Linked DNA regions of Lepisosteus oculatus. The protein of the gene in region 3 interacts with the protein of the main gene of each other region in a pairwise test. Links are inferred from orthologs where the notes say so. Each region holds a gene or a part of one and is shown on either strand. Other genes may lie near its edges. The genes, in order: prpf38a, ythdc1 and clk2a.

Region 1 (10,263 bases), on a different chromosome or scaffold from region 3:
GGCTGTCTGTTCTGTGTCTACATTGTTGTCTTTTGCTTCTTCCCTGGAGAACCAAAGACAATATAAGTGAGAGCAAAGTCCCAGTACCTGAGCTAGACTTGCCCATTTTCCCCACAAGGCCATAGTAGAGTAACACAACTGATGCTCACACAGCAGCCAAACCTTACTATCTTCCTTCACAGCAGGTCTATCAGAGCAATAGAATACAAGCCTGATGCAAAGAGCTTCAGAGTTCAGATCATTGATCGAACATCCATTTGCCACTGTGAAGGACACTCTGCTTCCACTAAAACCTTCAAGTGGAAATAAGAAAATACAGCACAGGAACTGAATAAGACTTGTGTTATACAGCAATTCAATTAATTTTGTCTCTCAGCAGAGGAAGGCTCGTGAAGCAGAGGGGTGCTACATAATGCAGTTTTATTCATAGGCATTTCAATGTTAAGGCACACAAAATAATTTTGAAATGTCCAGTCCCTGGTATAACAGAAATTGCACAGTACGTACAATACTAGAATTTAAAGACCCAACAGTCCAGTTCGTACCTAGTATTACTGAATTATCACCCTTTCACCAGATTTTGCGTAGCTCACCATGTAGCAAGAAGGAAAACAAACAATGAATATTACACTCCAAGAGATTTAGAATCTTTATTTCATTTATCCCTGGTAAAGATGCACAGAGATTATGGAGATTACTACAGTCATTCAACTGATTCACAAATCATTGTTCTCTGGCACCCATACTGTTGTGTCTGGAGGTATTTCAAAAGAAGAAATACTTACTTTTTCTGCGGTCTCACAGCACTTTTCCTGGGTGTGTCCTCTTTCTTGCAGGGGGTTTTGGAACACCTTGTCGAGACCCTCACTTTGTCCACTTCCCCATCCAGAGGAGAAACTCCAGAAGTGTCCCTGTAACAGCCCAGTGACAACTCTCACTGGCCCATCATCATCATCATTCAGTTTCCATAATACATACTGAAGTCTTCCTATAAAAATATTTCTACCTCTGACAAGGTTTAGGTTTAATTCCATGCTTAAAATTAGAAATAAATTAAAAACATTTAACTTTGAAGCCTTCGGGAGGAGTGGTGGCTCTGTGGCTAAGGATCCGTGACTATGCCTGGAAGGTTGTCGGTTTGTATCTCAAGGCCGGCAGAGGAATCCTACACCATTTGGCCCTTGAGCAAGGCCCTTAACCCCAACTGCTCCAGGTGCGCCTATAAATGGCTGACCCTGCGCTCTGACCCCAAGCTTCTCTCCCTGTCTGTGTGTCTCATGGAGAGCAAGTTGGGGTATGTGAAAAAGACAAATTCTTAATACAAGAAATTGTATATGGCCAATAAAGTGATCTTATCTTATCTTCTTCACTTTTAATTTTGCAAGATGTATGCTGTAAGTGAGCAACACTCTCAGCTCTTCACACAAAAGGGCCAGTATTGACTAGGCCCATCGTGGATCTACTGACAAGAAAGTGTACAGCAGAAATACATACTTTACTGACTCCTGGTTCCGATCGGGACGGGTGCTGCCGGCAGGGTCCTGAGCGCCCTGCAGGGGACAGATGCGAACAGCGGGGGAGGTGATGGCGACTGATCTGATGGGGGAAAGGCGGACAGTGATGCCGAGGGGCCGTGGGGGAGTGGCAAGAACCTTGCTTGTCAGCTCGCTCTTCTGGTTCTCAATCTCTGTGTGAAGCAGCTCCTCCAGCACATCATCCCTGGTGAGCCGAGCCCCCGCGGACTTCCCTGGGCCTACCAGAAGACACCAGAGAGCTAAACAGTGCGAACAATACTTTGGTGAAATAGCTAAATGATATCCTGGGATTGATTAAGTACTCAATACCAAATGAGTTAGATGGGCAGAGATGTTAGTAACATTCCTTACGATCTAACACTTATTTACTTGAGGAATGTCCACTGAAATGAGTAAAACAAACGAAAACAAACATTTAAGTTCATTAAAATTTTTTGGAATCTCTTTTCCATTCTGAAATGTGAAATGAGAAATGTTGGAAGCACACCCACAGTTCTTAACTGTGTTTTTATACCTTGTTTGCTGGGGAAGTACTGACCTACAGCTTGTCCCCTCCCCAGTAAAAAACACTTATTTTGAAAAACCTTGTTTTCCCCCCTGCTGCAGGGGGATGGGCATTGCCTCTGCGTACTATTATTAGGAACTTGTATTTTCAGATTTGTAATCCATTTGTAATGTAAAAGACCATGACCGCTGATGTCGGAGAAGCCGATAATAATAATAACGCCAGCAGCTATAGTATATCACCCTGCAAGTCCCTATTGGCAGCCCAATGATGCTAAGCAGGTGTAAGCCTGGTCAGCATGTGGATGGAAAACTCCTGGGAAAACTAAGGCTGCTGCCGGTAGAGGTGTTAGTGGGGCCAGTAGGGGGCGCTCACCATGTGGTCTGTGTAGGCCCTAATACCCCAGTACAGTGATGGGGACACTATACTTTAAAAAGGCACCGTCCTTCAGATGAGAAAAATAGTAAAATAGTCCTGTCTATGGTCATTAAAAATCCCAGGGCGATTCTCAAAAAGAGTAGGGGTGTTACCCCAGCGTCCTGGCCAAATTTCCCATTGGCCCTTACCAATCATGCCCTCCTAATAATCCCCATTTATGAACTAGCTTCATTACTCTTTTCTCCTTTCCACTGATAGCTGATGTGTGGGGAGCATTCTGGCACACTATAGCTGCCGTTGCATCATCCAGGGGGAGCTACACATTGGTGGTGGTGGAGGGGAGTCCCCATTACCTGTAAAGCACTTTGAGTGGAGTGTCCAGAAAAGCGCTATATAAGTGTAACAAATTAATAATAATATTATTATGGCAAATGACCACGCGAACCACAATTTCAAGCAAGCACTTACTGCTGAGCTGCAGCTTCTTCCGGACGCCTGGGGTGGAAGAACACTTGGCCTGCCGTCGGGCACTCAGGCCTTTTGACTGGGAGTACTTGGAGGAGGAGTGGTGGGACTCAGCCTGGCTTGAGGCTGGCACCCCCACACTCACCGCCCCAGCCAAGGCCCTCTTCATCACAGCAACGTCGGGGGTGGGCAGGCTGCCTCTGGGAGCAGGGGCCAGAGAAGCCCCACTGCCCTGTCCCACCTGCTCAGCTGTGACCGCTCTGAAGGCCTTCCCGTTCCAGGACAGCTTGACGTAGAGGGTGCCGTTGCTCTGCTCCACTGGGAAGGGGGCTTGTGGCTCCACATGTCTCACCTGGAGAACACAGAGTGCCTTCAGACTCGTCTCTCCTTAAGAAATCACCTTCAGAAAGGAATGCGGATCTCCCCCAAGCTTTGCCATGTCATAAGCCAATGCCACCCTTATTAGCAACAACATTTCACTGACTATTTAATTAAGGTTCTAAAAAGCATTTTAAATGAATTATTTTTCACATTGTAAATAAAATCCAAGTAGCAAGATGTTTTGCCCATGTTCTGATCACAAACAGAAATGTTTCATGAGATCAATTTTTAAAGTCTGAGGAAATATCCCAGATCACCTTCAACATACATGTGTGTCTGTGATTTTACTCACCTCCACAGCACCAAGAATAGTCTCCACATCTATTTCACAGTCACAGTTAGTCACGTCATACAGGAAGATCTCCTGAGGGTGGGGCGCCCTGCCCAACATCTTCCTCTTGTTAGAGGGCACCTCCGAGAATCGGGCAAACCACTGCACCTCTGCTCGCTTATTCTCTCTTTCCCTAGGACCTAAAGATGAGAGAACCATGCCATTACTTTTAACCTCATAAGTGTCTCAAGGAAAAAGAAGGGCTAAAGAAACACAATTTGCTACAACCTCACCACCTCCATGAATTTAAGCGATCTTTAAATTCTTTCAAAATACTTTCATGGTACACATGCTCTATATCAGACTGGAGAAGAAATGCCTGCCAGTGACTCACCACTGCCGTAGAGTTTGAGTAGTTTTGCAATAAAGGGATTGTCATCATCATCGCCTTCGATCAAGATGTACTGGCCGAGCTTTATAGAACTGGCTTCTGAAGTGCCTTCTGCATACATGAAAAACCCACTTGAAAAACAGAACAAATTTCGTTCAATTTAGTTTCAGAACCAATATTAAGTTTTATGTGTTAACTTAATTGAATTAACTTACTTAGCACTTTTTCTCTATGTATCTGCAACTAAAGTGTCTTTGTGGACTTCATGTCCTCCCTGAGACCTGACATTCAATTACAATTTGTGGCTTCAAAACCCTCATGGTTAGGTGCCATGATGGACTCTTCCTATGACGGACAGCACAGACAGTATGTGAAGGTAGAATGTTTAGTTTACAGCAAACAAAACATATATAACATTCCACGTAAGCCCCAATATTTTACTGCATCCCAAGTTATCATTCTTGACTGTATAAACAGAGAAAAGAGTTAAAACCTTAGGTTATGGACTTGATCCAGAAGTCACACCAATGTGATACACAATATAGTTACATCCTTTGATCTATGATATACACAAAACCTACTGTTACTGCACTTCAATAAATGTAAATAACATTGTTCTTAAATTGTTATTCTCAGTATTGTATAAATTCTCTTTAACCATTTACCCTACCACTTTAAAACTACAGGTTAGTTTGCTACCTTGCTATATGCCACTCAGTCACACTCATAAGGTGTACCGCAGGACTCTGTCCTAGAACCCCTACTCTAGACCTGTTCCTTGAGTCACTTCCACATATACTTTTTACCTCTCGTTTTGTCATCAGATTTCTCCCTCTGGCATGCTCCTGTGATGACTTCAAGAGTGGTATGCAGAATCACCCGCTTCCTTACCAACTATTCCACACAATTCCAAATGATCAGACTATTGTAACTCCCTCTTTTGCCGACTTCCCTGTTAATACTACCCGTTCACTCCAACTCATCATGAATTCTCTTGTTCACCTTTGCTCTTCACTTGCTACTCCATTACCTGTACCCCTCCACTGCATCCCTGTTACTGCGATTCAAGACCCTACTTCCCTCCCACCACTCTGCTCCTGCCAAACCTGACTCCTGTATCTCTCCCTTCAACCTCCTCAGCAGTGCAATGAACTGCCAACAGAAATCCAAACAGCTCAGTCCCTGACCACCTTTTGGCACCTGCTCAAGACTCACCCGTTCAGAAAGGAGATGTGTCTTCTCAGTACTCAGCTACATACCTCAGAAGCTCAATCAGCCTGCCCTAAAAGCCTTTTGTTTTCAATTTGACACTGGAATTCTCCTACTCAACTGAAACATGGAACTCACAGCATTATTGATCCGTACTAGCACTACCTAGATAGGCATGTTGTTGTTATGGGATTTTACTGCCTCACTTGCAAGTGCAGGTTCTGAGATGCAAAAAGCAAAATAGGCAAAATGGACACTTCTAACATGTAACCTTTCTTATGTGTCCTTGTACTAAACGATGGGATGAATGCAGTGTAAAAACACAACTTATTGATAATGGTTTTTAGTAGAAACAAGCTATCTGATTGCTAAGGAAGCCGAAGTCTTGAACTACTCACTCGTAATAGAAAAACTGCAGTTTCCTGTCAATGAGCGTAGGTTTTCCATTCCAAGTGTACACTCGCCTTTTCCTCTGCCTGGTTAGGTACCGGCTCATCTTTTTATCTCCTAAGGTGCACGAAAAGTAATAAAGCATTCAAAACTGAAATACTGAGAAAATGTGTTTTTAAATCTTGATTTTGAAGAAGAAAAAGTTTCTGAGTAAAGTTATATTATATCAATAGTGTCAACTGAGGTATTCAATTGAACAGTATGTTTAACTGCGTTACTGTCATTCTGTACATAAAAAAAACGTAACATGGAAACGACAGTGTTAATGACATTATGTGACTGAATTTTGAAAATGATGCTCATCTTCATGGAAATGATGGTGAGTAGTCGTCAACAACCAAGAAACAGTGAAATCCATGTGAACATAAACACATTGGACTCTCAGATTCCAGATGGAACCCAGTTATTCTTTCTAGATGTTACGATTTAAAAGATGTACTTACAAAATGAATGTCTAAGCAGGAAAGTAATGCCGCTTGATTTCTTCAGTGCACTTCAACTGATAAAAAAAGTTTGTCCAGGATGACACACAGGTAATAAACTATACCTCAAAAGTTTAAATAACGAAGGTGTGATTTTCGTTGTTAAAACAATCTTTAAAACGTAATTTTCTACTAACAAGAAGTGTTTCTTGTCATTTATTAATTCGCCTAAAATACACCAGACTTCATACAGTTATACAGTTATATCACTTCCTTTACTTTATAAGAACTACCCCCACCGACACACGCTACACTTTCCCGGGCTGGGTGCTCTGTGCTCAGTGACGTCATGTCACGTGACACGAGCGCTTGAAACACACGCCCTTTGACTCCAGAAGTGTATGTTTTCTGCACCGGAAACACTTGTGTTGCGAAGTGTTTTGAGAGGACTGTAGAGGAAAAATGGCTAATCGAACTGTGAAAGACGCTAATAGCATTCATGGAACAAATCCACAGTATTTAGTGGAGAAAATTATTCGCACACGGATCTACGAGTCAAAATACTGGAAGGAGGAATGCTTCGGACTTACGGGTGAGCAGTAGCAGAGACACGTGGTAATAATTGAATAAGTAGATATGGTAAAAATACAAGTGTGAACAGAGCGCAATTCGAGTAATTACAGTAATATCCATGGTAATACTGTCCATTAAAAAAAATTATAAACACACTGCTATTATTTGAGGCCTGTCTGGTTTTAATTTAATCTCTAGTCCAGATACAGAGATTTACAGCTGTTTGATCCATTTGACCAATTGTAATCCACCGTTTAGCTGCAAGCAGTATTAGCAATAGTAATTGGAAAAAAAACATAAGTGAAGTGTTGTGAGTAGGTGGCAAAAACAGTTTAAATAACCTCACAGATTTCGTTAATCTGTGCCTTCATTAAAACGTTACAGTGTTTTTGTAACGTTTGTCTGCTGATTGTCTTTACCACTTTTATTTTCTATGTGCAGCTGAATTGGTGGTGGATAAAGCCATGGAGCTGAAGTACGTTGGTGGAGTTTACGGAGGGAATATTAAACCCACTCCTTTCCTCTGCCTAACCCTGAAGATGCTGCAGATCCAGCCGGAGAAAGACATCATCGTGGAATTCATAAAGAACGAGGATTTCAAGTAGGTGTAGTGCACTGAGCTGAAAGACAAGCTATTGTAAAGAGGGCACGCAGAGCTTCTAGTGAGAAACGGCAGTATGTGGTAGATGTTTTGACAGTTCCATTGTGTTTTGGAGATGCTTGTTTCTTGTTTCTTTGGAGATGCTGAGCTCACCATGCAGGTCTTATCGTTAAGTTTTCTTATAGTTTTTCTACCTTTATGCACTGGCTTGTATTCATCATTTATCATACCATGAGGTATTCTTTCTGAGGTAACATTAAGGATGCTACATTTGTATGCTATATTTTCTTCCATTTAAAAAGTTCTCGGTACTAGCCCTGCTGAGGATACAAAGTGAAAGTCACATTTATTCCCTGTAGGTATGTCCGTTTGCTTGGAGCCTTGTACATGAGACTGACTGGTTCATCAGTGGATTGCTATAAGTACCTGGAGCCATTGTACAATGACTACAGGAAAATCAAAAACCAAAATCGGAATGGAGGTGAGCTTCTTTGTTGTGTGCATGCAGTTGTTTTTAATATTTTACGACAAGGCCGTATTTTGTGGCAGCTGTTTTGTTAGAGGCATATGCCAAGTGAGATTAACTGGAGTTTAGTACTTTTTTTTTTAAATGCTTGTTCACACTATCTTGCCTTTCCATTTCTCAAGAGTTTGAGCTGATGCACGTGGACGAATACATTGATGAATTGCTGCACAGCGAAAGAGTGTGTGACATAATACTTCCTAGGCTACAGGTATGTAGTAGCTCTTTTCATTCTTCTGCACTCTTATAGCAGGCAAATCTCTAGGAATAGCAGATTAAAGAAGTTCATATCACTTTATAATAATAATTAATAATAATTGTTACACTTATATAGCGCTTTTCTGGACACTCCACCCAAAGCGCTTTACAGGTAATGGGGACTCCCCTCCACCACCACCAATGTGTAGCATCCACCTGGATGAAGCGACAGCAGCCATAGTGTACCAGAACACTCACCACACATCAGCTATTAGTGGGGAGGACAACAGAGTAATGAAGCCAATTCATAGATGGGGATTATTAGGAGGCAATGATTGGTAAGAGCCAATGGGAAATCTGGTCAGGACGCCGGGGTTACACCCCCACTCTTTTCAGGAAACGCCCTGGGATTTTTAATGACCACAGAGAGTCAGGACCTCAGTTTTATGTCTCATCCGAAGGACAGTGCCTGTTTTACAGTACAGTGTCCCTATCGCTATACTGGGGCGTTAGGACCCACAGGGTGAGCTCTCCCTGCTGGCCCCACTAACACCTGTTCTAGCAGGAACCTTAGTTTCTCCCAGGAGGTCTCCCATCCAGGTAGTGACCAGGCTCACACCTGCTTAGCTTCAGTGGGCTGCCAGTTGTGAGTTGCAGAGTGATATGGTTGCTGGCATGGCCTTACATGTCTTGACAAGTTTCTTTGATTATGATCGCGATTAAAAAGCACTTGCAGAGTCGGAGTCTGCTGAACAGGTGTGCAACGAAAGGTGTGCATCTGTTTTGCAGAAGCGGCAGGTGTTGGAGGAGGCAGAGCTGCTGGACACTCGGGTCAGTGCACTGGAAGAGGACCTAGACGAGGTGGAGACCAGCGAGGAGGAAGAGGAGGAGGAGGAAGAGAAGGTAAGGGGAACCAAGAACTCTGAACCTCGGTCTGCAGGATGTTCTTCTATCTCACAATTGTTTCCTAATTTTGTTCCCGTTTTCCACTTGGTGTTTCTTCTGTTGCGGTGAAATGCGGTGACCTCCTGCGGTCATGGCTTGCAGCCGGAGAGAGGCCAGTCTCCAGAGCCCCACCGACGAAGCTACCGCGACGTAGACAGGCCCCGCCGATCCCCCTCCCCTCGCTACCGACGCAGTCGGTCTCCCAGGAGGTAAGCGCCTCGCTCTGTTTTTTCTTTCCCAGCAAGAGTGCTGTGATCACTTCACTTGATTAAAGCTGTTGTCATTTGAACGTTTTTCTCAAGGTGTTTTGAGATCATCGGTGTGAAAATAGAATAACCATGTTTGAGAAAGTGACTCCAAAACAGCATAACAAAATCTTAAAACTTTTTATCTTCCTCTTTTGTACTTTCAGACGGAGCAGATCACCTAAGAGGCGCAGGTAATATAATTTTTGAATTCCTTCTTTTTATGGCAACATTGATTAATCGGGGATGTAATTAAGTTGAGATTTTTGTAGTTACTAATTGACACTTATCACTGGCCAATTCCCAATCTATGAAATATAAATTACCAAAGTGTTATTTTGTGAAGTGATCAGACCAGTAATAAAACAGGAACACTTTGTCTACTAACAGCATATTTCTATTAATCAAGTACTTGGGTTTTTCCAGTGACTTAAAGCTGGACACTAATGTGAAGCAATAGACAATATTTTATATTGCAAGATATAACATTTTAAAAGTTAACTAGCACCTTGTAATGCTTTTATTATATCAGCGTTCGTTTACCTGCCTGTCGCTTTAGGGCAGAATTGTCAGCATCAGCCTCGATGAATAAATAGGGCCAGGGATTTGCCAGGCTGGTATTGTAATTGCTGTGGGTTTTTTGGTTTGGCTCTGGAGCAGCCCTTCACCCCGTCGTGAGAGGCATCGGAGCAAGAGCCCGCGCCGGCACCGCAGCCGGTCCAGAGAGAGGCGCCACCGCTCCAAGTCTCCAGGTACTCCCCCGTGTTTCTGCAAACCACTTCTTAACTCTTTCTCCTTTCCAGCGTAACCCTTTTGATTTCATAGCATGAATTGGAACTGATGGTAGAACTGGTTCCAAGCTACTAAGAACAGAAAGCTTAGTGGAGTCCCCTAATTTTGTCAAGGACTAGTCCTGAGATGTCCTTGGCTATAGGCTGGAGCACAGAGGTTTTCAAAGGTAATGTTGATAGGCCAATAGATTAATACATGTATGAAATGTTTAAATATAATTTCTAGGAATCTTTTAAGGCATTATGTAATACCTTTTATTAATACTTGGTAAGTTACAAGCTAAATCTCGCTTTCTGTCAATGCTTGTTTTTCACATTTCTCTAGACCTGTTCTCGCGATGTCTTGTGTTTTGCCCTTCTTTCATAAGTTAATGCAACCT
Region 2 (10,080 bases), on a different chromosome or scaffold from region 3:
AGTTATCAGTGATAATAAAGCAAACATTTGTCTAATTTGTTCAGAACAATATTAAAGTCGAAAGGAATTCTCATTTAATGGCTTTGAACTCCACTCAATATTTATTTTGAGCGACTTCTAATTTTGCATTTAAACTTTGGCTTAATTGTTATTATCACTTGATTAATCATGCAAAATGTACTCATTTGTGTTTTTTATTATGCATTGATGTGTGAAGTGAATTCCTGATGAGCATGTTTTTGACCAGTTTAAATAAAGCAAATGTTTGTTTTATAACTGATAAAGGCTAATTCAATACTAATTACAACAGAACGTAATACACTGACATGTGTTAGCAATACAGTCAATACCTTACTAATACCATTTGAGTAAGTATTGATCAATTTATTTGGCAATAAAATGGTGCATTCAGTATGTACTGTAAACTGAGAACAGTCTTAGACTCGTTCACCTAATTTATGTATAGTAACTGGACCAACCGATAGGTTGATCAAAGTTTTGTTGCTAATACAGCTTTTTACAGTGATCCCATTAGAACTGTCTGTTGATAACTCAGTCCTTGAGTCTTTTATGAAAGTTGCTCAAAACCATATAAAGTAAAAAGTTCAAAAGCAAACCTTGGGGCTCTAGGCTCTATTGAGTCTTTCAATTTGCTGTAATCAGCTCCTCAGCACTAGTCAGTCATACAAGGAATTTGGTCACATTTACTCTGTCAAAACATGGTGGGTTTTCCCATTAGTGTATTTTGATTGATAGGTTCTATGGAGGTACAGTGGTGAGAAGCCAGATACCTTGAGTCCAAACACCAGAGTTTATGACTGGATTCCTCAGAATGACCTTCTAGGTAAGGTGCTGGAATTGCAATGTTTCATTTTCTCTTGTAATCTGTGGCAAAACAGCACAGATTTGATTTTTCTTGTGTTGTCTTTTGAATGCAGTGAACTGTTTGTCTGTTTGTTATGTACGCTGGCTATTTATTGCATGTTGAAGTTGTCTCTTCCAATGGCCTATGAGAAACAACCTCTCATGTTTGATTTTTTTTGTGTTCTAAAGGGCTTTGAGATGAAAAATCACAAAAATACAAGGATCATCATTATTTTGTGTTTGAATTTCTCTTTAAAGGTTTTGATGAGATACATTTAACTATGGCAATTCTTTGCTTCTCAGAGTTGGGGCCCTGGATTCAATTCCAGGTGCTCTTTTTGGGGTTTGTATGTTTCCCCATGTTGGCATGGGTTTCCTCTGTAAGATCCAGTTTCCTCTCACAGCCTGAAGACATTCTGTCAGGTTAATTGGCTTTTGGAAAAACTAGCCCTGGAGCGAGTGTGTGTGTCTGTGTCTGTGAGCCGTGCAATAGACTGGTGTCCCCACCAGGGTGTATCCTGCCTTGCACCCACTGCTTGCTGTGATAGGCTCCTGCTTTCCAGTGGCCCTGTATTGGATAAAGCTTGTCCTAACACTACTCTGAACGGGACTATGCCTATTCTTGCAGAATGTTTCCAGCTTGTGCTTCCTGCGGGGCTACTGAATTTTAAAAAGCTGTTGCTTGTGCTATACTCACAGGACACCCAAAGACCAAGGTTTTCATCACCCATGGGGGGACCAATGGAATATACGAAGCCATATACCATGGGGTTCCTATGGTGGGCATCCCTCTGTTTGGTGACCAGCCCGACAACATGATGCACATGAAAACCAAGGGAGCAGCTGTTGTCGTCGATTTCAACAACATGGAATCCAAAGACCTTGTGGATGCCCTCAGCACAGTGATAAATGACACGTCGTAAGTCACATTTTAGTTTCACTGTCACCTTTGTAAGACGAACCAGAGCTGAAATGTTACTCACTCAGCAAGACTAATAAACCATTCCGAAAACACAATTAATGTGCGTCAGCTTACCTAAATTAAACACCCGAATCAAGTTGTCATTTAAGTTGTTCGTAGACAACCCTGCTTCTTAAAAGGCAACTGGAAAGACTTATTAAAAAGGGTAAATTAAAGCCAGGGATGCTGCAAAATGAGAGATTGTTTTCCTGTTTTAGTTTTTTAAGCCTCTCTAAGGCTATAAAAATATACTGCATAATACTGTGTTTAACTAGCCAGAACCCGAGTCTAACCCTGTGCTTTTCCGAGCCAGGTTTCTGCAACTGCTTCCTCAACAAAAACCTCCTCTGTATTGTGTCAATGTCGGGAAACGTTAATCATCACATTGTTCTTATCCTTCATTACCAGGTACAGAGAAAACGCCATGAGGCTTTCGAGAATCCACCACGATCAGCCGATGACGCCGCTGGAGAGGGCCGTGTTCTGGATCGAGTTCGTCATGCGCCACAAAGGGGCCAAGCACCTGAGAGTGCAGGCTCACAATCTGGCCTGGTACCAGTACCACAGCCTGGATGTCATCGCCGTGCTGCTGGCTGCTACGGCAGCAGTGGTGTTCGTCCTCATCAAAAGCTGCGGCTTCTGTTTCCGGCGATGCTGCAGGAGGGCAAAAGCAAAACCCAAGAAGGAATAAGTCCTGGTCACTGAGTGCTTCATTTCACTTTCGGATCCAATCCGGGATTTTTTTTCCAGTAATCGGTGAAACCGCGATTATAATCTTTATATAAGGGGTCAATCAGTGGTAAGATGCCAAAAGTTTGGAGTTCGTAATGAGGTTCAATACGTTCGAGTGGGGACTGCATCTGTGTGCAAAAGAACAAGTATGGGTTAATTTTACGTGGAAAAATACAAACACAATATTTATGCTGCAAAGTGTTCTTCAGATGTGAGGTGGTAGTCCTTCCACCCGAAGCGGCTCAACAGTCTAGACGCTATGATTCTCCTTTCTACCAACCAGGTTCAATGTGTACATGTCTACGACACTTTGTGCTTTGGTGTGGCACCTCTGGTATTCTCTGGAGAGATTTCAGAGATGTTTTTTTTTATTTCAAGTCGGTCTTAAACTCTGCATGGAGTCCCAGCCTCTTCTACAGTACCTATGGCTATGAGACTGACCCTCGCCAAGCTGGGATCAGAGATCCCCAATTCAGTGGCGAAACCAGTCTTGTGCAGGCAGAGTAGGGAAGAGACTGTTTCATGCTCACCAAAACAGATTAGTGCCCTCAGCTTTACAGTGGGCGTGCTATTCTCAGGGGGAGGTACTGTAGCTGAGGCCTGAGAGAGAAGAGAAAGAAAACAAGTGAATCAGCTAAGATTTCCTAGCTAAGGTGCAGGCCTGGATGGGAAAGGGTAGTAGCATATGAATCAGTCCAGTCCAAGGGGTGTGGAATACTACAAAACCTAAATACTCAATAAACCTGCCTAATTCTTGAGTGTTGTTATTCCCCCTGATAGCACTTGAAAGAAAAATCATCTGTAAATTATAATATATCACGTACTGTAGGCAAGAAAAAGGCTAGGGAAACAAGCATAGAAAAACTGACTTACAAACTACTATATTTTAAAACTGGGAACTATTAACAATGTGCCAGTTGAGGTCAGGTAGAATCCAACCAGTCTCCGTGTTTACATCCATTATTATGGGTAACCCAATGCATAAGTTGCAATAGATAAATGTAATGAACTGTAGTGTAGATGTTCCTCATAAATGTGATGTTTAAATATGCACAATTATGGTGCAAGTCATTTTGACTAAATGAACAGAAAGCTGCAGCACATTGCTTCAGCTTTTCAAATTTATTACACTACAAAGTATGCCTTTAGAATTCCAAACATGATTAAGTGTGTAATTGTCATTATTCCAAATAGATGTTCTGAATGATATGTGTATGTGCAGCATACAGTATCTTTATTTTTGGTGTTAACATGTAGACAGCTATTCTGAATACTACTCTCATTGATAATGCCCTGTAGAACGTTGGTTAATTTTGAATGTCACTAAAAAATAGTGTTAATTTATATGTTTCTGATGTGAGTTAAATTAACTTTTTTCTCCTGTTTATTTCCACCTGTTTATTATGCAATTTTTTTGTATTTTGTGGATAAACTGCAGAATCTTTTACACTTTTGTTTATATCCACATTCTCGTGCTGTCTACATGTGGAAAGGAATGCTGAGAGCTGATATGTTAAATATGGTATTCATTTGGTTGATTGGTATGATACAAAATAATAACCATATTAAATAAATTTGTATATATTGATTTATGTAATGTTTCAGAAATATTATTGAATTATTATTGTTGTTTTTTATATACATACAACAAATAACTTTTGTAATTTGTCTGTATTGATAAACTATATCTTGAGATTAAACCTGAATTTTGAAAGCAATGCTTATATTAATAGATGAAAAGGTTGTTTTCAATAATTAAGAATCAAACATCAAAGTCAGGGTAAACTTGAATAACTGAATTCACAAAGAGCAGTGATAGGCTTTAAAATTAAAGTAATTATCTAACTACTCTCTAGATCCTATTACTACTGAAATGTTATGGGGTGATAGCATGTTTAACCAACAAAAATGCAACTGGAGAGGATTAGGACTGAAAAGGCAAAAAACACTGTGAACAGGCTTCAGCACAGAAGAAATGTGGTCAAGATGGAGTAGGAAATGTGTGTTGAGATGCATGTGCAATAAAAGTAAAGTAAAAAAGCATTTCTGTGCTGAATTGTCTTTGCATTGAGTATCAATAAATGCTCAATAATATTTATCACATTTCTCATTTATTAGTTGTATTTTAGTACTTCAGATGTCTCTATAATTTTGGCCACAGTTGCATACACTACTCTTTTAAAGTAAGTCTACCCATCCAACATCAGAAAGTCCATTCTTGATAAGGGCTGTGACAACCTAGAGCCCGTCCCATTTGCACAGGGGTAGAAGATGGGACAGGATAGCAGTCCATGACAGGACACACGCATTAAAAAACACGGAGACAGTTTAGACACCCTTAACCTTGCCAACATGCCAAGGAAAACCGGAGCACCTGAAAAACATGGGCACAGGGGGAACATGCAAACTCCACACCAAGGACTGCACATCTGGAATCAAACCCAGGACCCAAGGGCCTATGAGACAGCGGTGCTAAATGTCAGTGCCATCAGTACTACTGTACATATTTCCTCCAAATGCCTTCACACTGATGATGTGTTCATTTTCTTACGGAAACATTTATGATGGGGGCAACAAATTAAAAGGAAATCGAAATAGCAGTCTGAAAAACGGAATCATTTCGTTTAATGAAAAATGTATTTCTAAATGAATTTAATGTAGTTTTTGAGAAGTTCTATTGAGTGATTGCTGGAAAAGGCTGAGACTGGTGAAAAGACTGAGAAGAGTTTTCTTGCAAGCAAAACTCAGAGTATTTGCACTTCGCATAAGCTTGAGATTACATTGAGCATTCATACTGATTTTGCATCTGACTAAATTTTGAATATAATAGGGGCAAGGTGTATGCGTACCGAATTATAATTTTAAAATTTATGGAGAATGAGAAGTGAGGTAACAGTTCAATTTTTCATACTGCAAAACTGTTTCACTCGATTCTGAGAATGTTTGTTTCTCAGTAGACCTCAGTTCTGTTGCTGAGATAATTATATTAGCTCTGCCCTGAAGTCAAATGGTAGAACCTACCCATTCTCAATTCCTGCCAAATTCCTTCTCAGAATTGCTTCCTTTGTGAAAATGAAAATGTAATTCTCTTTTCTTCCCTCAGACATATTTTATCTGGCATTGTAAGCGGCAAATGTTTTGCATGAAACTTCTCAAGTTTGTAAAGCTTTGTGTTCTCTCACTCGTTGTATCAACTCTATTTCTATTTATTAACGTGTTTAGTGTACGTAACCTTTCATTTTAACTTTGTTTTTGGACTATGGTGTTTACCATAAACCTGCTGGCAAATGTCTGAGTTTGTTTGTTGTCTTTGGTGTATTTTGTCTACAGTATGTACAGTTCTCTTTACTTTGAGCACAGCAAAGAAATCAGAAGTCACTTCTCTTTCTAGTTTAAGATTTGCCCCCTTCATAGTCACAGTGGATCAGACCAAGGTCTAGGTCTCCAAAAAAGCAGCATCACACCTAACCGAGTTTAACTGATCCTGAATTGAGTTGGACAAGTTTCTTCAAGTCTATGTAAAGCCTTTTAAGATACATCTAAATATATCATATTATTTTACAATATTCATTTCATTGTTATGCCTGCGGCAACAAACAATTACTGAGATTCTACAGCAAACAGAAGAGATCACAACCTGCGCACTAATCTGCGCATGCAAGATGCAGTTCGCCATTTTTGAAAGATGAGGCTTTGAACCCCACAGCCCACGAATGATACTTCCGGGTTTTGGAACGCTGAAGCTGTTTGTGAGGAGTAAGCCTGCAAAAAGCTTTGTGACGTATTGGCGGAGGGAATTGTGGGTAATCGCATTGTATCAGAGAGGCAGGGAGGTTGGGCGCCATTTTGACAGAGGTGGGTTAGAGGCTGCGGAATGCGGGAGGGTAAAACTGTATTTCTTTAACATATTTTAGATCTATAAACGAGGCAGTTATAAGAAAAGGCAAGACGAATCCACTGCAGATAAACGCCAGGCAGAGAAAGGGCCGGAGGATGGCGGTCGACAGGCGAGATGAGAAAGGTAAACTGCGATATTTTCATTTTTGGGGAAGGGTTGTTTACGGGTAAGTGAAAGACTGGTGGCGTGGAGTGCATTTCTTTTTTATTTGGGTGCAGCGACGTCTGTAATTTATGTTAAATCCTACGTTGTGAAACGCGTGGTTATCGTGATATGTGTCCTCCTGCCACAGGCGGGGTATGTAGAGGAGCCTTTATCCTCCTAATCGATCGACTGTATCGGTGTCGTTTGTCAGCTATCTGCTTTGATTTTCAAGCCAAGCCCCTGGTTATACACTCACTTAGGCCCCCTAAATAACGTTATCCATTCCAATATGCGGTTTAATGCGCACCACAAAATTGAAGTTTGTGGTTTCGGACGTGTTTTCTTCATCGACGTTTTTTCTTTCTCTGCAAATGCTGGAAGGAAGCACGGATGGTTGTTGTAAAGCTTAGGTGTTCTTGTTTCCGTGGAGTTAATACGATATTGTAACGCAGAAAGACTGGGCTGGGAGATGCGACTACCCCACCCCGGGTATCCTGTACAAATCTGAGCCTCTGAGCAAAAATGGAGGCGAAAGGCTTATCGTGTAGGCACCTCTCCGTCCTTGTTTACAGATTGGATCTTTGTGGATTCTGACCCGCTCCCTGATCGAGATCGCGAGTGCCAGATTTCCTCCTGATAAAAGGTGTCCCCTAGGCAAAAGGTGTACTTATAATTTTCTTTGATCTGGGACTTTTCTTGCTAGTGGTGCGCAGTGCAGGGGCTACCGTGTTCAGATCCTCCAGTTTCTGCGTTACTGGGCGATCGCTGGGAAACTGCATGGAGTGAGCGCTTTAAAAACGTGACAGGGTATGCATAACGGGAGCTGACAGCTTCTGGTGCTGAATTTGAGTGCCCTGTCAGCATAGGACGGCTGCTGATCAAGCAAGATGAATTTCAGATGGAGCAGCCATCAGTTCGGTTTCGCTTTGGGCACATGCTTTGGACTTGCTAGTGAGTGGTTCTGAAGCGACATGGTTTTCATTTTGTATCTGAAGGGCGGTGTTCAATTTAATCTTCGGTCTGTGAGCTTCCCGCTGATAAACTGGCAGAGATGTAGTCTGTTGGTTGGTACTGATATATTGTGTAATGGTCTTATTTTAACTATGAAGTACAGGAGGACAGAAGTGTAACATGCTCGAGGTAAATCGAGGTAGCCAATGTTCTGTAAACATAATCTTTAACTATAGCATTAATCTGAGCTATTATTTGTGTGCAAGAGCTGGTGCTGTATTTAAGGTGGGGTTATGGACTTTTAGAGTTCCATAAATTCATCACTGTATTTCCCACAATGAAATGGAAAACCTCAAGTCAGTTGGAGTAAGAAATAGAGGGGCAGCCATGATGAACAAATAAACATCTGGGGGGGTCAAGCCACAGACTGCACCCTCCAGTGTCCCAGCACCAGGTATGCAGCCCATAATAATGCCACCATTGAGCAGCATTGCATTCTCAAAATCAGTTTTATTACTTTAAGGAGTGGTATACTGCCTTTTCTTTTCCCACCTGCACCCTAGAACATTGCGTCAATGAGGCGTGTTCCCAGAGTAGAGCTGAATTTGACATTATAAGTTTGTCTGCTTCAGAATTGCATTGTCACTCTTTCGCCATGCAAAATATTTAACTTTAGCTTCAGGCTTTGAACTGATGTTAGTGTATTGAAAGTCAAGTCTCAGACGTGGCATGTAATACCATCTGCCCCTAATCAAAAAGCTTTTTACTCTTATCGAGCCGTGAGAATATCTCAGAAGTATAAGGATCAAGGCAGTTAACCTAACCAACATGCCTGGAGAGAGGTGGGGACCACCCAGGACCCTCGGAGAACCATGCAGTAGCAGGGAGGACGTGCTGATCTCACACGGTGTTTTCATACAAAGTTGAAAGCTTTAAACATCATGTCACTCGTGATTAAAGAAACACACATCTGTAATGAAGTAAATAGGCAAAATATCAAACATTGTACACTGTTACAGGAGAGGGGTATGTAACCTTATGGTGTGGAAGTTAACCTGCAGGTGGTGCATCACGGACTGTCTGCAGCTTCGAAGGTCACACCCAGAACATCAGTTACAGTGCAGCTAGCTGGTTTTTTATATTGTTCCTGCGCATGGATGTTTTAAATGCAGCGCTACCATGAGCATTTTTCAGCTGGGGTGTCCTTTACGGATTTTGTATGTTTATTTTTGGTACTTTTTGTTGGCAAATAAAACGGGTAACCTTTAAAAGCCTGGAGTGGTTTCTTTTTAAAGAAATCGAACTTTTGGTAATGTAGACTTTGTTTTACGATTCTGTGTATATATAGTTACCCTTTCTAAAAAAACAAGCAACATTTATGCAATAGCAGCACGGTTTCTGTTATACCTTTCAATTAGGACCAGCTTTCATCACTTTAGTGGAAGCCTCTGTAAAAGGGAACTTCAACGCTATTTAATAATTTGGGGGCTAGAAAGAATCAGCATTGATGAGTGCACTTCAAGCCATAATGAAAACAAAATGTACACGGTAACACGTACGACTTCCAATTTACATCACGAAATTGACCACATTTCCAGGCATGTGCATCACCATATTGCCATCATTGTCTGCGATTCAGAATGAGGTACCAAAACTGCAGGTGACTTTTAATCGAATAGAAATACTTTGAACTTTGCAGACAAATACTACTTGTTCAAAAGTGCATTTAGAGTTAACATTGCTGTTGTGAAATGTCTGCTACACAACCTATACTTATGCGCTTGGACATCCCAAAACATTAGCCATGACGATGACTATTGAGCAGGATGGTTCGATTCACATCATAATTCTCTCAAATTTGCGCTCTCATCTGTGGAGAGACCAGCGGTTTACAACAAATAGCAACCATATAGTACTTTCACAAAGTTCACAATTTATGCTTAATTCAGAATTTGTGAAATTTTCCGATCCTGTCAATTAATTTATGTTGTTACCGAGATTTAATAACTAGTCTGAGAAACTGAGGGACTGAAGTTCCCTTTTAAAGGTATAACTTTGAAGCAATAAATATGATTTGTATTTTTTCATGTCCTTTGGACCTTAAATCTGAAGGAATGTCTTTCTGAACTCATGGGACATGATACTTTTCAGATGGTGAACTCAACGTCCTGGACGATATCCTGACTGAGGCACCTGACCAGGACGACGAGTTGTACAACCCTGAAAGTGAGCATGACATCAACGAGAAAAAAGGTGGGGATCTTAGGACAGGTTTGCTGTGGTTATGGAGTTTAATGAACTAGAGACAGTGCCCATTCCTTAAACCTTTGCATGCTTGCAAATGTAACTGAATGACTATATTCCAGGGCGGAGCTGTGGCTCTGTGGCTAAGGATCTGTGCCTGTGGCTGGAAGGTTGCCGGTTCAAATCCCGCAGCCGGCAGAGGAATCCTGCTCTGTTGGGCCCCTGAGCAAGGCCCTTAACCCCAACTGCTCCAGGGGCACTGTACAATGGCTGACCCTGCGCTCTG
Region 3 (9,888 bases):
GTTTCCAGCTGGTTAAACCCGCTGCCCGACCCGTCCTGGCGCCGGAGCGGTCCGGTTCCAGCCCAGGGAGCCGGGCGCTCCAGACGCCCCCAGAGAAGCCCGATTCCCCGGCACGACTCCGGCACCCTGGGAACACGCGAGGGGACGGGCGGACCTGCGGGCTGACTGAACGCCGGGGCCGATGCGAAGGCTGTGCCCCCGGGGGTGCGTGTTCGGGGTTCTCCCTACACGGCAAAGTACTGGACTTCCCACCTCACGGGCCTACGTCCACGCAGCACCCCCCTCTGGGGGAACCCCAGCGCCAGAGGCCTGCTCCCCGGATCAGCCCCTACAGCCCAGACCGGTCGCCCAACAGGCAGGAGACGCAGCCTCAACGCGCCTCAACACCGACCGGCCGATCGGACTCCCCGCCGAAACGCGTCTCAACTAGAGGACCAAGCAGGACCGCAGCCCACCGAGGACCCTGAGGAGACCCCACCCTGGAGCAGACAGAAACCCCAGAGCGAGACTGGCAGCACACGGAACAGACTGCCATTACCCACGTGGATTTTTTAAACTATTGTTTTTACAGACGCCCAGAGAGCGAAAAGGTCCGCGCGGCAAGGAAGGACCTTCGCAAAACCTGCCCCGTCTCGCTACAGTGAGAGAGAGACAACATTCACGCCCCCGCCCCCACCCCAAAAAAACATCCACAGCAAAACAAAACAAACAAACAAAAGGTTTGCTACTTACCGAATCCAGGAGCTGCGAAAAGGAGCGTTAGTAGAGAAAGAGGGCAGGAGGCGCGCGAGGGAGGGAGGGAGGGAGGGGGGCAGGGGCGGGGGGGGCGGTGGGCACACTCACCGAAGACGATGGGCTAAAGGTTCGGGTTCTACGCCTCCTTCGTTTGTGCTTACGCCTGCTGCTTTTGCGGCTGGGGTAGCTGTCCTCGCGGTCGCGCCGGAACTCGTAGGAGCGCTGGTGCAGGGCGTAGTCGACGTCGTAGTAGCCCTCGGCGCCGCGGTCCCGCTCCCGGCTGAAGTCCAGCCGCCGGTATCCCTCGCAGTACCGCCGCTCGAACGCCCTGCGGTCCGCCGAACGGTTTTCGTAGCTGCCGGAGGGGGGGGCGAGGGGGTGTGAGCGTGAGAGCAGGAAGCGGACTGGGGGGTTATGGGGAGGGGGGGGCGGACGCGGTGTTAGGGGCCGGACTCGGGGGAGGGGGCGAACTGGCCCTCATGGACCCTTTGAGCGGAGGCGCCGGTCCCCAGTGCCCCAGGGTGGGGACAGTCACAGCGGGCAAGGGGAGGTAACGGACAAGCGCGCGGCACTGGCGCTGGACCCAGCCGAGCGGCGCTGGCCGGGGAGAGGCCAGGGCCCAGACCGGTACCAGCGGTGCCGAAGGACGGGGGCTCGCGGGTGCTCGCGCGGCCGAAGCCCGGCGCCGCCCTGACCTCCTGGAGCGCAGGTGGTAGCTGTCCTCGTGCCGCTGGGCCCGCCGGTCCCTCTCGCTGCTGCTGGACCGCGTGCGGCTGCGCCTGCGCCGGTGCTTGCGGTTCCGGTACCGGTCCTGGTAGCTGCATCGGCTGCCCCGCTCCGAGGAGTGGTACCGTCTCGAATGCGGCATCTGGAAGGACAGGACGGGGCGGGGGCGGGTGAGCCCGGTGGGACAGGTGTGTGTGCTGTGCGCTTGTGGGCCGGCGGCCTGTACCGAAAGGTGACCTGTACCGCTATTTTCACACAGAGAGAACCAGGACCACCACAACGACAGCACTACAGTAAAACGTTCACAGTAACTTGTAAAACCTCCAATTTACATCACAACATAGATCACATTTCCAGGTCCGCACATGTTCTGCGATTCAGAACGAGGCAACAAAACTACCGGTGACGTGTTGACATCGCAAACCAGCAGGCTTGTGAACACACCTCTTTTAATCCAGCAGAAATACCGCGCTCGACTTGTTTTTGCCGACAAATACTTCTCAGCCGTTAACTCTGCGCGCAGATCACAATGGAACGTATCTGCGGGGAAATGTCTGCTGCTCAACCCGTCATCACAGAGACTCGTGAGGAGGAAGGGCCGCATCTCGTCCGGCGGGGACGTTAGCGCAGAGCGAGACCCGCCGGCTGCCCTGGCGACGGGTGGCAGGAGGAGCAGCTGTCACACTGCCCCAGGCGGCCCTCACACTTCGGGGAACCCAGGGCAGAAACTGGGGTGCGACTGATCCCAGAGGGGTTGATGGGCAGGATGATGGGGAGGTGGTGGATTATGGCTGGGGTGGGCACTGGATCTTCCCCCCAGCAGGGCAGGAGCACCCCCCCATGTCTGAGGGGGCCGGGTGGACTGTGGACAGAGGGACTGTGTGGTCACCTGGGGAGACAGTGTGTGGGGCAGGGGGGAGAAGTCAGATTCCGTTCTACAGTACTGCAGCAGTGTTCAGGGTAAGTGACAGCACTACAGTACTGTAGTGTGGCGTGGGTTCATCAGTGTTCAGGGTCAGTGACAGCACTACAGTACTGCAGCAGTGTGGTTCATCAGTGTTCAGGGTCAGTGACAGCACTACAGTACTGCAGCAGTGTGATGTGGGGTCATCAGTGTTCAGGGTAAGTAACGGCACTACAGTACTGCAGTGTGGCGTGGGTTCATCAGTGTTCAGGGTCAGTGACAGCACTACAGTACTGCAGCAGTGTGATGTGGGGTCATCAGTGTTCAGGGTAAGTAACGGCACTACAGTACTGCAGTGTGGCGTGGGTTCATCAGTGTTCAGGGTCAGTGACAGCACTACAGTACTGCAGTGTGGTGTGGGTTCATCAGTGTTCAGGAACAGTGAGAGCACTACAGTACTGCAGCAGTGCGGTTCATCAGTGTTCAGGAACAGTGAGAGCACTACAGTAATGCAGTGTGGTGTGGGTTCATCAGTGTTCAGGAACAGTGAGAGCACTACAGTAATGCAGTGTGGTGTGGGTTCATCAGTGTTCAGGAACAGCGAGAGCACTACAGTACTGCAGTGTGGTGTGGGTTCATCAGTGTTCAGGAACAGTGAGAGCACTACAGTACTGCAGTGTGGTGTGGGTTCATCAGTGTTCAGGAACAGTGACAGTATGGTACAGTAGCAGTGGAGACCCGGACCCTGCGCAGGGCAGGTAACACAGGTACACGCACACGGCAGCTCTCAAAGTCACACGCTTCGCCTGCCTCCGTGGCGTCTCCAGCAGCGCAGGCGGCGTGTTTTTCAACCCGGAGGCCTAAACCCTCAGACAGCGACCCTGTTGTTCTCACGTCAAAACCTCCAAGCCCTACAGGAACAGGTGCCGTCAGGCGGCTCCCGGACACGGACACCCGCTACCATCAGTTTTCACAGCCCCGGGGTGGGGTGGAGTGGGGGGATTCTCGGCTGTGGGTCAGACAGCAGCTCGTGTAATTAATATTTAAAAAGCCAACAGCTCAGCTCAGCACGGCGCCCACCATGTTGTCGCTGTGTCCCGCCCCCATCGACCCCGCACAGGCCGGCGAGCCCCGTCTCTTCAGCCCTCTTTACATGACTGTCGCCCCCAGAGCCGCTGCCTCCCCGCACCCACGGCCGAGTGAGCGAGCAGAGGCAACGGGGCCGCAGTAAGAGAGAGAGGAGAGCGGGCCAGGGGGACCCAGCCTCAGACACACCGCCCGCCCGGGACCCGCCAGCCGTTGGGGCGGAGTTTCGAATTCGAATTGCGGGTTTTGAATTGTAACCGAACTCCGGCCCAGCTCGTGGCAGCTGCTCGGCGACGGGGCGCTCTTGTTGTTTTGTTTTTTTTCCCCTCTCCCCGAGTCCGCCATTTTACAGCCCGCCGCCGCCGCCGCTGCGCACCCCTGCTTCTCTCTCTCTCTCTCTCCCTCCCTCCTCCCCCGCCGCCATCTTAGCTCGACACGCTGGCCCGCTCCACGGCCGCTCCGGCTGGGAAACACCCCGGCTTCCCGGGCACCCGGGGGCCGGCCCGGCGCCCCCTTACCGCCCCGAGCCCCGAACGCGCAAGAACAGCGATAATTGATTTCATGTTTTACCGTTTTCGCAGCGAGGCCCGTCCGCTTATCCCACAGGAAATCCGTCTTGGCGGCTCGCTCTCTCTCCCTCTCTCGCGCTCTGTGCTAGCAGCTGCAGCTGCCCGCGCGCTCTCGCTTTCCTTACCTGCGCGCTCCCGAGAGTGGGGGGTAGCCGAGCGACGTCAGTAGCCAAGCGTGCTCGCCCCCGGACGGCTTATTAAATACCACTTTGACGAGAACTCCGAGCTACCTGTCACACCCACAGAGGGCTCAGCGTTAATACACCAAGGCTGTGTCAGTGTTGTCGGTACTGGTGGTAATGTGTGGTTTGTGAGATGGCCCGTGAGCCGCTGGCTGCTTCATGTGTGGCGGGCGAGGAGCACAGGAAGCTGTTGAAAACATCACGCAGGACACAGGCTCACGCATCACGCTGACTTTATTCACAACCGATGCGCAGATCGGCGCCTCCAGGGCGCTGGACAGCACCGGCAGCACGTCAACACAGCAGAACTCGAGAATAAATCTATAAAACTGACGAGTAAAAATCCAAACTGCACGGAAGAGCTCTGGACACAAACTGTAAATAACCACTGAAGATAAAAGACACTGTCGGCGGGTGAGCTGTAGAGGGCGCTGAACACCACACAACACAGGAGGACTGAACACTACAGCACAGGCTGCGCACTACTGAACACCACAGAACAACACAGCACAGACTGCACACTACTGAAGACCACACAACACAGGAGGACTGCACACTACTGAACACCATAGAGCAGCACAGCACAGACTGCACACTACTGAACACCACAGAACAACACAGCACAGACTGCACACTACTGAACACCACAAAACACAGGAGGACTGCACACTACTGAACACCCTATAACAGCACAGCACACAGGAGAACTGCACACTACAGAAGACCAGAGCAGTCCAGAGAACTGCGCACTGCTGAAGCCCAGCTGTCAGCGGACTGGGATCTGAGGGCTGGGCAGCAGGGGGCGCTGTGGCGCTGCGTGGCGAGGGCTAGGCGGTCTGGCCGGTCCCGCTGGGCCTGGCGTACCGCACCTCGCTGTAGGTCAGCCTGTCCTCCTGTCTGTCCTGGCGCCGCCGGCCCGGCCGGCCCGCGGGCTTCAGGTCCAGGTGTGCGTAGGTGACGCCCCCATAGGTGTCCGTCTGCAACACAGCAGGGTCATGTGTCACACACCTCGCAGCAACACACAACACCTTGCAACAGTGCACAGCGCTGCACAACACTCACAACAACACACAGCACTGCACAACATTCACAACACCTCGCAAGAAAGCACAGCACTGCACAACACTCACTACACTGCACAACACTACACAACAACGCACAGCACTGCACAATACTCTGTACCTTGACCACTCTATTCTTACCCTCCCTTGGCCTGAACCACCCAGATTAAATATAAGTACTTTTGTTAAGGTGTATAAAGTCTACACACACTGGTCACATGACACCACACTCACCTCTAACCCAGGTACAAGAGCGCCCCCATTTGTCTGCCTCGAGTCTGCAACAGAGGAGCACAGGACGAGCAGAGCAGTGATCCATTCTCATGAGCAATACGAATCAATCCGTCTGTTCTCTATCTGTGTGTGTGTCTGTGTGTCTCATGAGCAATACGAATCAATCCGTCTGTTCTCTATCTGTGTGTGTGTCTGTGTGTCTCATGAGCAATACGAATCAATCCGTCTGTTCTCTATCTGTGTGTGTGTGTGTCTGAGCTGGTGTGTGTGTGTGTCTTACCTCTGTCAGAGGGTGAGCGATTAATGGTCAGGTAGGAGATACTGCCGATCAGAGCCAGCAGACTGAGGGCAGAGAGAGAGGCCAGGACAGCTGGGTACAGAGACCCACTCGGACCCGGGCACCACTGGAGCGCAGTCAGCTGACCTGTTCGAACAGCAGGGGGCGACACCTCACAGCTGTGTGCTGTAATACCTTTATCCTGACACACTGTAGTGTTCTCAATAATAATGGGGTGAGGGGTGGGTGATGGGTGATGGGTTGTAAGGGATAGGTCAGGGTGGGTGATGGTGGGTGTGGGGCTGGAGGTGGGAGTGTGAGAGTAAGAGGTGGTAGGGAGTGGGTAAGAGGTGGCTCATGGGTAAGGGGTGATGGGTGAGGGGTGATGGGTGAGGGGTGAGGGGTGAGGGGTCGGTGAGGGGTGAGGGGTGAGGGGTCAGTGAGGGGTGAGGGGTGAGGGGTGAGGGGTCGGTGATGGGTGAGGGGTGAGGGGTGAGGGGTGAGGGGTAAGGGGTGAGGGGTGAGGGGTCGGTGATGGGTGAGGGGTGAGGGGTGAGGGGTAAGGGGTGAGGGGTGATGGGTGAGGGGTGAGGGGTGAGGGGTCGGTGAGGGGTGTGGGGTGATGGGTGAGGGGTGAGGGGTGAGGGGTCGGTGATGGGTGAGGGGTGAGGGGTCGGTGAGGGGTGAGGGGTCGGTGAGGGGTGAAGGGGTGAGGGGTGAGGGGTCGGTGAGGGGTGTGGGGTGATGGGTGAGGGGTGAGGGGTGAGGGGTCGGTGAGGGGTGAGGGGTCGGTGAGGGGTGTGGGGTGATGGGTGAGGGGTGAGGGGTGAGGGGTCGGTGAGGGGTGAGGGGTCGGTGAGGGGTGTGGGGTGATGGGTGAGGGGTGAGGGGTCGGTGAGGGGTGTGGGGTGATGGGTGAGGGGTGAGGGGTGAGGGGTCGGTGAGGGGTGAGGGGTCGGTGAGGGGTGTGGGGTGATGGGTGAGGGGTGAGGGGTCGGTGAGGGGTGATGGGTGAGGGGTGAGGGGTGAGGGGTCGGTGATGGGTGAGGGGTGAGGGGTGAGGGGTCGGTGAGGGGTGATGGGTGAGGGGTGAGGGGTGAGGGGTGAGGGGTCGGTGAGGGGTTAGGGGTGAGGGGTGAGGGGTCGGTGAGGGGTGAGGGGTCGGTGATGGGTGAGGGGTGAGGGGTGAGGGGTAAGGGGTCGTGATCGGTGAGGGGTGAGGGGTGAGGGGTCGGTGATGGGTGAGGGGTGAGGGGTGATGAGTGGGTGAGGGGTGTGTGGTAGGTAAGGGGTGGGTGCTGTGTGGGTGGGTTTACCTTTCCCCTCGAGGGTGCGTGACGAGACGTTCGGGCTCTGATGGACGCTAGCCCAGCCTGTCCGGGCCTGGCAGGACCACGGCCCCCCCTCGCTCCACTCCTCCTCCGAGACGTTCAGGCGGCTGGTGACGCGGTACCTGCCTGCCACCCTGGTGGTCTCTTCCAGCGCCGGGCGCTCCCTCTCGGCCCCCAGCCAGCTCACCTGAGCCCAGGGCAGCGCCAGGCCGCTCACCAGGCACAGCAGGGCCAGGCCCTCCCCGCGCCGGCCGGGCCGCACCAGCACCGAGACGCTGGGGCTGTCCGCGGGGGGGTCTGCAGGGGGGGAGAGAGGCAGCGCGTGGCACGTGATGAGCGCAGATTAACGGGGACCCCCAGAGAGCCAGGCAGCTGGCACTGCAGCCTGCGTTAGAGCTGCATCAGGATCTCACGTCGTCTTGCAGAGCCCAGCGCATCACCCCAGAGAGCAGCCGGAAACCCAGGGTGGGTGGGGTGCGGCTCTGTACACGGCTCTGGGCTGTGGGGCTCGGTTCTGGCCGGGGGCACATTCTGTGAGGAGTTTGCATGGTCTGTCCGCGTGGGAGTGGGTTTTCCCAGGTGCTCCTGTTTCCTCCCACCTCCCAGACTCCTGCTGGCTGGGTCACTGTTGTCTCTAAATTCCCCTGTTGTGTCCCTGTGTGTCCCTGTGTATCTCTGTGTATATCAGTGTGTGTCTGTGTGTCCCTGTGAGTGTGTGTCTGTGTATCTCTGTGTATATCAGTGTGTGTCTGTGTGTCCCTGTGTGTGTCCCTGTGTATCTCTGTGTATATCAGTGTGTGTCTGTGTGTCCCTGTGTGTGTCCCTGTGTATCTCTGTGTATATCAGTGTGTGTCTGTGTGTCCCTGTGTGTGTCCCTGTGTATCTCTGTGTATATCAGTGTGTGTCTGTGTGTCCCTGTGTGTGTCCCTGTGTATCTCTGTGTATATCAGTGTGTGTCTGTGTGTCCCTGTGTGTGTCGGTGTGAGGCAGGCAGATATTAATATTATTCCAATAATACTCCTTATGTTTATATGCAAATATCTTATGATTGTGGCTTTATTGTAAACGTCTGTAGATTGTTGTTCCATGTTAATTGTATTTGTTTTGCTTTGGCAACACCGATTGTACTCCTCGACCATGTCAGTGAAGCGCCTTGAGTTGAATTGAATTGTCAGTGAAGCGCCGGGCGCCCAGAAGCCCGCAGCCGCCCGGGCCGCAGGGCGGAGTAAAAGCTCGCTGTCTCTCCCTCGGACCCGGTCCCTCCCTCCAGACCCGCCGGGCCCGACAGAACGTCTTGGAGCCTGTCGGGTTTTGCTCTGTGTGGTTTTTGCCAGCAATCGCACCCAGCGCCGCCGACCGGGTCTTCTCTGGGCTCCCCGGCCCCGGACAGCCCCGGCACGGCGCGGGGCGGGCGGGTTCTTACCTCCGACGACGAAGACGGTTCCGAGGTCCGGCAAGGCGGTGCAGCTGTTGTTCTGCTCCCCGCAGTAAAACACGCCGGAGTCGGCGGAATGGGCGGCGAGCACCGTCAGCTGGACCCGGTTCGAGTCGATTCTGGTGCTGCTGTATCGGCAGCCGGTGTTCCGGTTCTGGTTGCAGTCCGTGTTGAGGATCTCCAGCTTCCCGTTTGGGTCCATTCGGAACCAGAGGAGGTGCTCATTGTAGAAGCCCTGCTTTGTGATGCAGGTGCAGGGTACCGCGGCGTCCTGGCCCGGCTGGGAAAACACCCAGACCCTGTCCTGGGCCGGAACCGCTGAGGAACAAACAGAGCCCGCCAGGTTCGGCTTGTGTAATAATAATAATAATAATAATAATAATAATAATAATAATAATAATAATAACATCCAGAAGATCTCATAGTATTACTGCACGTTAATAATATATGAGCAAAAGCGATTTTAATAATAACAGCAACAATATAATGTATCATACTCTTATTTCACTTTAGCAACGATAATAATACAATTAGATCAATAGTAATTTAACAATTATTAATAAAAGCTATTTGTTTTATTGCGCTTTAACAGACAAAACGACAGAAATGATATTAATTCAATATAATAATAATATTAATAAAGTCTAATATCATTATTGCACATGAACAACAATAATAACAGTAATTTTAATAATAACAGTACGAATATATTCAGATCTAACAGTATTAATGTTCATTAGCAAAGACGATGATAGAAGTGCAACAGTAATTTTAATAACAATGGTAATAATATTTCAATAAGATCTAATCGTGTAATTGCACATTAACAACGAAAATCAGAACAACAGCAATTTGAAAAATAAGAACAGCAAAAACAGACTAATAAGAATAAATCTAATATTAATACTGCGCATGATTAACGATAAAAACATTAGAAAAGCAATAGTCATTTAAATATTAACAACGAGAAACATATAAGACATAAAAAGGATACGAAATATTATCATAGGACATGAATAATAATATTAATGTAATAATCATAATTTTGGTTTAATCGTGCGTGCAAATAAATAAAAACAAGACTAAAATATTAGTAACCATAATAGATCTGTAAAACATAACAACGTTGTAAATGAACAATACTACAATAATATCTGTGTACTGTAGTAATTATCAGTAGTACTGTAGTAACTCGACGGTTATTCTGTGATTCTATGAGAGGACACGATTCAGAAAAGGTGATTCTGTTTAAAACAGTTTTACTCCTGTCTGTCTGAAGAGGCCGAATCGTCGAAGTTCTAACAGGCGGAAAACGACACGCTTGTCTTTAGTGTGGAAAGGAGTTTAA

Evidence for each region.
Region 1: the proteins of clk2a (region 3) and prpf38a interact in binary tests that used the Homo sapiens proteins (3 or more experiments, as listed by UniProt). The link is inferred for Lepisosteus oculatus from reciprocal best matches to the Homo sapiens genes CLK2 and PRPF38A.
Region 2: the proteins of clk2a (region 3) and ythdc1 interact in binary tests that used the Homo sapiens proteins (3 or more experiments, as listed by UniProt). The two-hybrid records come from large-scale screens. The link is inferred for Lepisosteus oculatus from reciprocal best matches to the Homo sapiens genes CLK2 and YTHDC1.

Annotation. Positions count from the first base shown.
Region 1 is NC_090704.1:14,895,132-14,905,394, forward strand, and holds the start of prpf38a (pre-mRNA-splicing factor 38A), read left to right. Parts: upstream 1-6,412; 5' UTR 6,413-6,469; coding exon 6,470-6,599; intron 6,600-7,021; coding exon 7,022-7,181; intron 7,182-7,540; coding exon 7,541-7,662; intron 7,663-7,829; coding exon 7,830-7,915; intron 7,916-8,691; coding exon 8,692-8,805; intron 8,806-8,949; coding exon 8,950-9,056; intron 9,057-9,259; coding exon 9,260-9,286; intron 9,287-9,752; coding exon 9,753-9,844; intron 9,845-10,263. Other genes in the region: orc1 (origin recognition complex subunit 1), read right to left, coding at 1-43, 786-911, 1,495-1,753, 2,887-3,235, 3,557-3,735, 3,930-4,057, 5,534-5,631. UniProt on the Homo sapiens protein: Involved in pre-mRNA splicing as a component of the spliceosome.
Region 2 is NC_090698.1:64,044,934-64,055,013, reverse strand, and holds the start of ythdc1 (YTH domain-containing protein 1), read left to right. Parts: upstream 1-6,377; 5' UTR 6,378-6,550; coding exon 6,551-6,578; intron 6,579-9,701; coding exon 9,702-9,803; intron 9,804-10,080. Other genes in the region: UDP-glucuronosyltransferase 2A2-like, read left to right, coding at 757-844, 1,564-1,783, 2,234-2,516. UniProt on the Homo sapiens protein: Regulator of alternative splicing that specifically recognizes and binds N6-methyladenosine (m6A)-containing RNAs.
Region 3 is NC_090722.1:6,921,767-6,931,654, forward strand, and holds the start of clk2a (dual specificity protein kinase CLK2), read right to left. Parts: upstream 4,159-9,888; 5' UTR 4,022-4,158; intron 1,604-4,021; coding exon 1,431-1,603; intron 1,091-1,430; coding exon 844-1,090; intron 832-843; exon of another isoform or gene 1-831. Other genes in the region: uncharacterized protein, read right to left, coding at 5,030-5,179, 5,498-5,541, 5,778-5,921, 7,091-7,402, 8,529-8,858. UniProt on the Homo sapiens protein: Dual specificity kinase acting on both serine/threonine and tyrosine-containing substrates. Phosphorylates serine- and arginine-rich (SR) proteins of the spliceosomal complex.